2 linked regions of the Danio rerio genome follow. The protein of the gene in region 1 interacts with the protein of each later gene in a pairwise test. Links are inferred from orthologs where the notes say so. Each region holds a gene or a part of one and is shown on either strand. Other genes may lie near its edges.

Region 1 (3,833 bases):
TATTACAAGAATAAGCAACAATTTTAAATATACTAAACCAGAAAGCTCCTAAAAGTGAGAAATCTGGTGAGACATCTTTTTCAAGTAAAACCTTCCCAGAAATGACTTGGTTGTACCCTGATCTCACGAGGAAACTGAACTATTTTATGTTTTGTCAGTTTAGTGACTAATTTGTTCGAATTCAGTTGTACAAAAATGTAAGATTTTAAAAAGAAGGTGTGGCACCCAAACCCCACCTCTTAACCCAACCGTCATTGGGGATGTGAAAATCATACTAAATAGTACTAATAAGATTGTATGAATTCATAAGAATCAGCCACTACATCAAAATGTTATGAATTGTCGTGAGATTGTCTTACAGGTTCTGATTCAATCTCTTCTCTCAAGTTAAAACATATACAGTTGAAGTCAGAATTATAACCCCCCCTGAACTATTACTCCCCTGTTTATTTTTTTCCCCAATTTCTATTTAACAGAGATAAAAATAAAATAAAAATCCAACACATTTCTAAACATAATAGTTTTATATAATAACTCCTTTCTAATTGATTTACTTTAACTTTGCCATGATGACAGTAAATTATATTTTACTCAATATTTTTCAAGACACTTCTATACAGCTTAAAGTGACATTTAAAGGCTTAACTAGGTTAATTAGGTTAACTAGGGAGGTTAGGGTAATTAAGCAAGTTATTGTATAACAATGGTTTGTTCTGTAGACTATCGAAAACAAATTGAGCTTAAAGGGGCCAATTATTTTGACCTTAAATTGTTTTTTTAAAAATTAAAAACTGCTTTTATTGAAGCCGAAATAAAACAAACAAGACTTTCTCCAGAAGAAAAAATATTATCAGACATAATGTGAAAATTTCCTTGCTCTGTTAAACATCATTTGGCAAATATTTAAAAAATTGTAAATTATTTTTATTAAATTTTGGGTAATAATTCTGACTTCAACTTTACGTAGCTCTACAAAATATAGTCTTTACAGTATGGATCATTTTTGAATGTTTATTAGATCTTACTTTTAGTGAATAAATCTTCTTTATTGGCATTAATGGTCCAGAACACGCTCTACAATTCAAAGGACTCCACAAAATTTATTTAAAAAATTCTATATTCTATATGTTCTTAACACTAAAAAAATGATAATTTCAAAAAATGTTCTGAAATGTTCTGTGGGGCCACAAATGTGGTTCTTCTAAGAGTCTATTTAAAGAGTCAAAGTTTAGAAGGAACTTCTTTCAATTCAAATAATTAAAAATGTAATCATTCTTGTTTTAAAGATTAGCAAAAGTCTTATAAACCAACATAAGATTAAGTTAATAATGACTGAATTAATATTTTGGGGTAAACTCATTATTTAAAATCATAAAAGGGTCAAATTTACACAATGGCATGACCTTTGACCGGTCCTTACCCGGAAATCTTTGGCAGAGCGGCGGTATTCTGCCACATCACAGATGGCCAGCATGCCACCCATGGAGCTGTAGCTGAACTGCTGCAGGTGCTCATGGATGAGCCTGTGGAAGCGCACTCCCAGCTCCGTCAAAACAGTGTCTACATTCTTACCATCCATGGACCTCCGCACACGCTCCACCTGCTTCCCCACATAGGCGCACACCTTTGAGCATGCCTTGAAAAAGAGCACAGAAAAGATGGTGTATTAAACACAGGATAATCAGGCATGACCTTCATCCCTAGGTCTGAACAATTTTCTCAGCCCTGATTTCATATTTTTAAAATGGTTTTGTACAGAAATATTAATCAAACATTATAATTAGACATGTTGTTGACAATACACCAAAATGAGGTTATGTGACACCAGTTTAACCTTTTTTTAACATGTAGTTTTAGTTATTTTGACACACAGGATTTGCAATTTATAGTTATGCGTTTGAGTAAAATCTAATTTTTGCATTTATTTGCAATTCAAAAGAAATCGATGAAAAACATTTACACATGTTTGTATTTATTTTTAGACCAATTCTTTAACTGCACAAGTGTTAGGAAAGTACTATTTGATGGAACAGATCCTTTGGTGGAAAAAAAATAATAAAAACATGTAGTTTTTCAAGCTCTAAAATGGCCATTATGATTTATTTTAATTTTAAATTTGTGACCTGACCTTTACAGAATAAAATATTGGCATTTTAATACATGTCAGATTGTCTCTTCTTTTTATTTATTTTTTTTAAATAAATTCAATAAAGGTTTATTGACCTTCTTTTAAGTGTGCTCGTTTTTGCTATTGTTTTAGAACTTCTGATTTAGTTTCATTTGGGAGAGATGACTACGAATAATAAACGGCTGAAAACAGTCAAACTAATTACTCTACAAACAAGTGTTTGCATGACTATACCGACAGAATAATATGATAGGAAATTATCAGTTTGCAACATCAAGTAGTATAACGAGCAGTTTTCAACAAATAAAATGAATGGAAGTGATTGAGACCGGAAGTCTCAAGAAAAAAAAGATTCAAATGGCTGCACTCACTCATATGCAAAGAATAAGGTGAATAGCTTGTCCCTCAAATACTCTACCATGTTATATCAAAATGTCCACCCTGTTAAGTAAGAAAATTATATAATAATAATAATATTAATAATAATAATAATAATAAAAGTTATTTGCAATCATTCATAATACAATAGAAAATTTATAAGGAGTCTAACAGTATTCAGATACAGAAATAATTAGTTTTTACAGCAAAAATGTTATAATTCCCAAATGCTTTCAAACAAATGCTCACGCCTTCCCAGGTCTTAAAAACACACACAATTGATAGACTTTCACTTTTTATGGGTTAACTGAAATGACTCCACATTTTACGTTGTGCAATGTGACTATTGTGGATTCACACATTGAGATATTGATGCTAAAATGATCAACTGTACAGCCCTGGGACAGAATAATTGAATTTGGTTCAGAAACGCTTCAATTTAAGGACCCAAGTTTTATTTAACTTTGTGTTAATAAATACACACAAAGTGCATTCCTTCCTAAGGAAATTCAAAAATGTTGCTTGATTAAGTCAACAAACATTATGCAGATACTATATAAATAATCCAATTCCATATCGCTCAGCTCTGAACAATAATCTGAAAGGGTTAGTTCACCCAACTATGAAAAATGACTCTGTTTGAAACAAAGCACAGACGCTGACATGAACGTGCACAATAAACCGACACCAAAGAGAAAAAAAACATCTACTACAGTAATTATTTTTTTTGTTTTATGTGCACAAAAAAGTATTCTTGTAGCTTGATAATATTCTGATTGAAACACCAAAGTCATATGATCTGTCTTTAGGATGTTTTTGATATTTTTCTGGAGTCTGAATGAGTCCTGCCATCTATGGAAGATTAGAGAGCTCAGATTTCACCTAAAATATCTTCATTTGTGTTCTGAAGATAAATAAAGGTCTCAGGGGTTTGGAAAGACATGAAGGTAAGCAATAATAACATGATTTTTGGTTGAACCGTCCCTTTAAGTCTTAATTTCCCTGCCTGTTCTTCAGAGTAAATTACTATACAGAACAAGATTTTAAGATCTTACTGTAGTGTACTGTATCATGACATTGTTCTCATCTTCTGGCTTGAAGTCGGTTTTCTTCTGTTCAGTGGTCAGGATGTACTTCATTTGGCCAATCATGCAATTCAGTGTCCTGAAAGCAAAGAAACTTGAGTAAAATTCACTAAAATTTCATTCAGTGCCACCAATGAAGTCAAGGATTACTCTGAACCAACCGATCAATCCCAGTGTCCAGCTTGACTTCCATTTGTTCGATCACCTCTTTCTTCTTATGCAAGCACTCCGTCAACTTAGGA
Region 2 (3,833 bases), on another chromosome or scaffold:
CTGGATATACTACAGCTTAAAAAAGAAAATAGTTGACCGTCGATTTCCCGCTACAAATAGGGAAGCTGAAACCTGAGGTAAAATGAAGATGGAAGTTTATTCTCTACCTCTGATTTGGTGCCTTGTGAAATATTTTTTTTTTACAAAAGTGTGCCTTTGAACTGCTTGCTCATGGTAAAGTAGTGGGTGTTCTGAGTGTTTACAGGTGAAACGGACACTTGAAGGAAGGTTTCGGGTTTCACCTTATCGTAACACTCATTGTGAACTGCGGGGACAAAACCCCGAATGCCCTTCGGAATCAATGTTCATTTTTACATTGTTGTCACAAATTAACGTGTATCCAATGCCAAGATATGCAGAGTATTTATTACAGCACTTCTTTATATACACTTTGTATTCAGATATGTGCAATACAATGAGTTTTCTATCTTCTCGTCGAGCTGTATCATATGTCGTTATTGCTCATACACAAGTGCGGATCAATAGTGTGCGGAGAGAAACACAGTATACAGTATTGTTTTTATTAACATAATTACAAAGAAAAAGTCACTTACAGAAGACAAACTTGAGTTCAAGAGCAGATTAATTTTCGCAGATGTCATTAAGATGTGAAAAAAAATAAAGCAAGACAACAGGAGCAAATTAAAAGTGGATTCTCAGTTTACAAAACACACCTAAAATCTACCACAAATCTGAATAGAAAAGAAATCAAATTTGGAGTGCTCGGGTTTTTGCCTTTGTATCTGTTCATTGCAAATGTGCCTCTATGGAGAACCAAACTGGTTGACGCATCAGCCCATTGTAGTTGTGGTGGTAAGTTTGTGGGCCGAGTTTCTCCATAATGATGTTTCTCATGCTATGGTGGCAAATTTGTTACATATTCATAGATTATAGGGCGTTCATGACTCCCTATAGGGAAGGGGGAACCCTGATGCCTGTAAAAAGCCATGCATCATGCTTAAGAAACTCAGCTCAGCGGAAAACATGATCAGTGTTTGGAAATCGGTTTAATGGAATGCATATGAAAGGCAAAAATCGCTGGAATTCATTCGATAAAACTTTCATCGTGAGTAAAACGGGCAGCACATCAGAGTGAACAAAAGCAAATCATAAGGCAACTGAAATCATCAATGTAAAAACAACGTGAATGTGTTGATATGACGAGGGCCTGAATCTGGAATATTCTCCTGTCGGTCTGCTTCTTAAGCTGCTTTGATTTTTAAAGCTGCTCGAAAACAGGAGATCTGAAAGCTGGACAGACTTAAGACTATAATAAACACAAAACAAGCTCCAGACCCTCAGGAAAAACCAAATCAAAACTGCAAAGTCCGGAAAACATTCTTCACGACCTAAAAATCATCCTGTCCTCTTCAATATATTACTCTAACAGTTACTAGGTTAAAATAACTGTCTGAATCGACCTTTTTTTTGTTTGTTTTACAATGGACCGTCCCATTGGAATTCCTCTCAAAACAATACTAATCTTGTATATTACATGTATATTACTTCCTGAATAGGTACAAACAGGGATAAATATTTGGTGATTGAATGTGAAACTGGAAAGAAACAAAACTAATTTAAAACAGAATACAATAGTTTAGTTATAGATTTTCGTCATCGTTGTTGTTTAACAAAAACAATGTTACATACAGTGTTGACGCATGTCCTCTGATCACCTGTGACATCATGAATAAGGTTTGCCAATGTTTGGTTTACATTACGCTAGTATTCAGACAGCTCCTGTACATTGAGATGGTTTAGTTTATAGTTATGCACATCACCACGTCTGTAAAAGGATAAACCCAGCATCTCTTCAGTTTATCGACAATCATCTTCTCTCTTTAGGATTAGTGTTCAGCAGAGGAGCCGCCGTCCTCCCTCGAGTGCTTGCTGGGAGCACTGGGATGTGTGCGTGTATGAGAAACAAGCAAAACAAGTGAGGGAAGGAGACAGGAGAAGAAGGGAAAAGAAGAGAGCGGTAAGGAAGGAATGAGTGAATGAATTATGTTACACCTCCATCACACAGAGCCGTCAGGCCTCTGCGAGCAATCACACTGCGGGGGGGAGAGGCTTTAGATACAGGTGGGATTTGTGGGAGAGGAAGGAGCAGAGAGAGAGAGATAGAGAGAGAAGTCTCCATGGTCATTAACAGCTGCAGCCCTCTTTCTGGGGCTGTGCGTCGCTGCTGAGCCGCCCTCCCTGCGGGGCGGTGGGCTTGTGCTGGACCCCTGACTCGGCTGCGTTCAGGTCCAGGCTGCCGTCCTGAATGTTCTGGTAGATCTTCTTGGCAGCTTCCAGAAAAGCATCCTCCACATTCTCGCCTCTGTTGAACAGACACGCAAAGATGAGCTAGAATGTGAAGGATATTATGACAGATAAAGAGAGGAGGCTCTGACAGCAGATGGTCTGAAAGTCACTTACGTTTTTGCACTTGCCTCAAGGAACAACAAACCTGTTTCAAAAGATTAAAAATGCCACAGTTAAACGTTTTAGCCTTGTAGTTAATTTTATTTAGCAACAAGCAAGCTTGTGCTCAAGTTAGTGAAACATTAAATGAATAACTAGTGGAACTCCACCTTTTTGACTAGAAGAGCCTGTTCATATTTCTCTTATAATTAAGACCACATCTACTTTACAGTACAAAGTATTTTCCCCATTAATATAATACAAAAAGTCTGTTTTGTGTTATGAACTAAACCAACCAGCTATGAGAGGAATCACATTCAACTTTGTGACCGTGGCAGTGTTTCCTCTTGGATTTTTTTCCAGCTGTGGTGGCAGGCCTCTTTTACACAGATCTACCAACTACCTGTGGCGTTATTTCAATGACAAATGTCGCGATCGCATTTATGTAATAGCCTACGAGCATGCGAATCTCTTTGCTTGCGCGCCGATTTCCATTGTTCATATACAAAATTATTGCGCGCCCCCTCAAATATACACTGCTCAAGCGCAGATCTTCTTGTGCGCTCTCAAATAAACGCTGCTAAAGTGTGATTTAATGCATTTATGTAACAAGTATGTCTTCAAGATTTATTAGATTTGCTGGGAATATTTATAAATGTCTCCAATAGACCAACAGAGCGATATTAATGCGTCCTGAAGTAATGCGAAATGGTTATACGTTGTGTTTGCTGGTCTCACGCATCATGCACCTGTCAGTCAGCACGTAATCTTAAAGGGTTAAAGAAATGATGCACAGCACTACTACAGTTACAGAAAAGTTTGCCCTGTTATAATTCACTTACCTTTTAATACGTTTTGGTGCAATTATTAGATTATCATTTAAAAAACATGACTGAATGTTTTGAATGAAAAGTTGCAATGTAGCAATAGCGGATCAATTTTGGAGTGGTGCCCCAGCATGGAAGAATGAATGTAGCGGAAACCATGCATGGAATTTTCTGGGTAATGTAGTTTTCTCCTTAATTTCTGTTATTAAACATTTTAAAATGAAGTTGAAATGATGCGCAAGTATGAGTTAAACAAAAGCATATACAATCAATTAATAACAGGTCTGTCTTAAAATGTCTTGAATTTTTAAATATTAGTTCTTGTTAAAAATAAATCAACAATTTGACTCTGAGATTTTCAAAGTGCATCGCTTTTCTCTCTTGAATTGATTTAAGAGTTTAGTTTTAACAGCAGATGCTGTATGCTTTACAAACAGACGTACTCTGCTTGCATTTAATTCTCTGCAAATACCACTTGAACCTAAAATGACCATTACTGAAGGTAGGAAAGGTTTACATGTGCAAGAGTGTTCATAGTGAGCTTTCTTTAAATTCATATCATTACATAAAAAGCCATCTTGCATGAGTGGAATGTATAAG

Evidence for each region.
Region 2: the proteins of exoc5 (region 1) and rab14 interact in binary tests that used the Homo sapiens proteins (3 or more experiments, as listed by UniProt). The two-hybrid records come from large-scale screens. The link is inferred for Danio rerio from reciprocal best matches to the Homo sapiens genes EXOC5 and RAB14.

What each region holds. Positions count from the first base shown.
Region 1 is NC_133192.1:49,403,684-49,407,516, forward strand, and holds part of exoc5 (exocyst complex component 5), read right to left. Parts: coding exon 3,753-3,833; intron 3,671-3,752; coding exon 3,562-3,670; intron 1,637-3,561; coding exon 1,421-1,636; intron 1-1,420. UniProt on the Homo sapiens protein: Component of the exocyst complex involved in the docking of exocytic vesicles with fusion sites on the plasma membrane.
Region 2 is NC_133180.1:69,331,307-69,335,139, reverse strand, and holds the end of rab14 (ras-related protein Rab-14), read right to left. Parts: intron 2,453-3,833; coding exon 2,422-2,452; intron 2,324-2,421; coding exon 2,146-2,323; 3' UTR 501-2,145; downstream 1-500.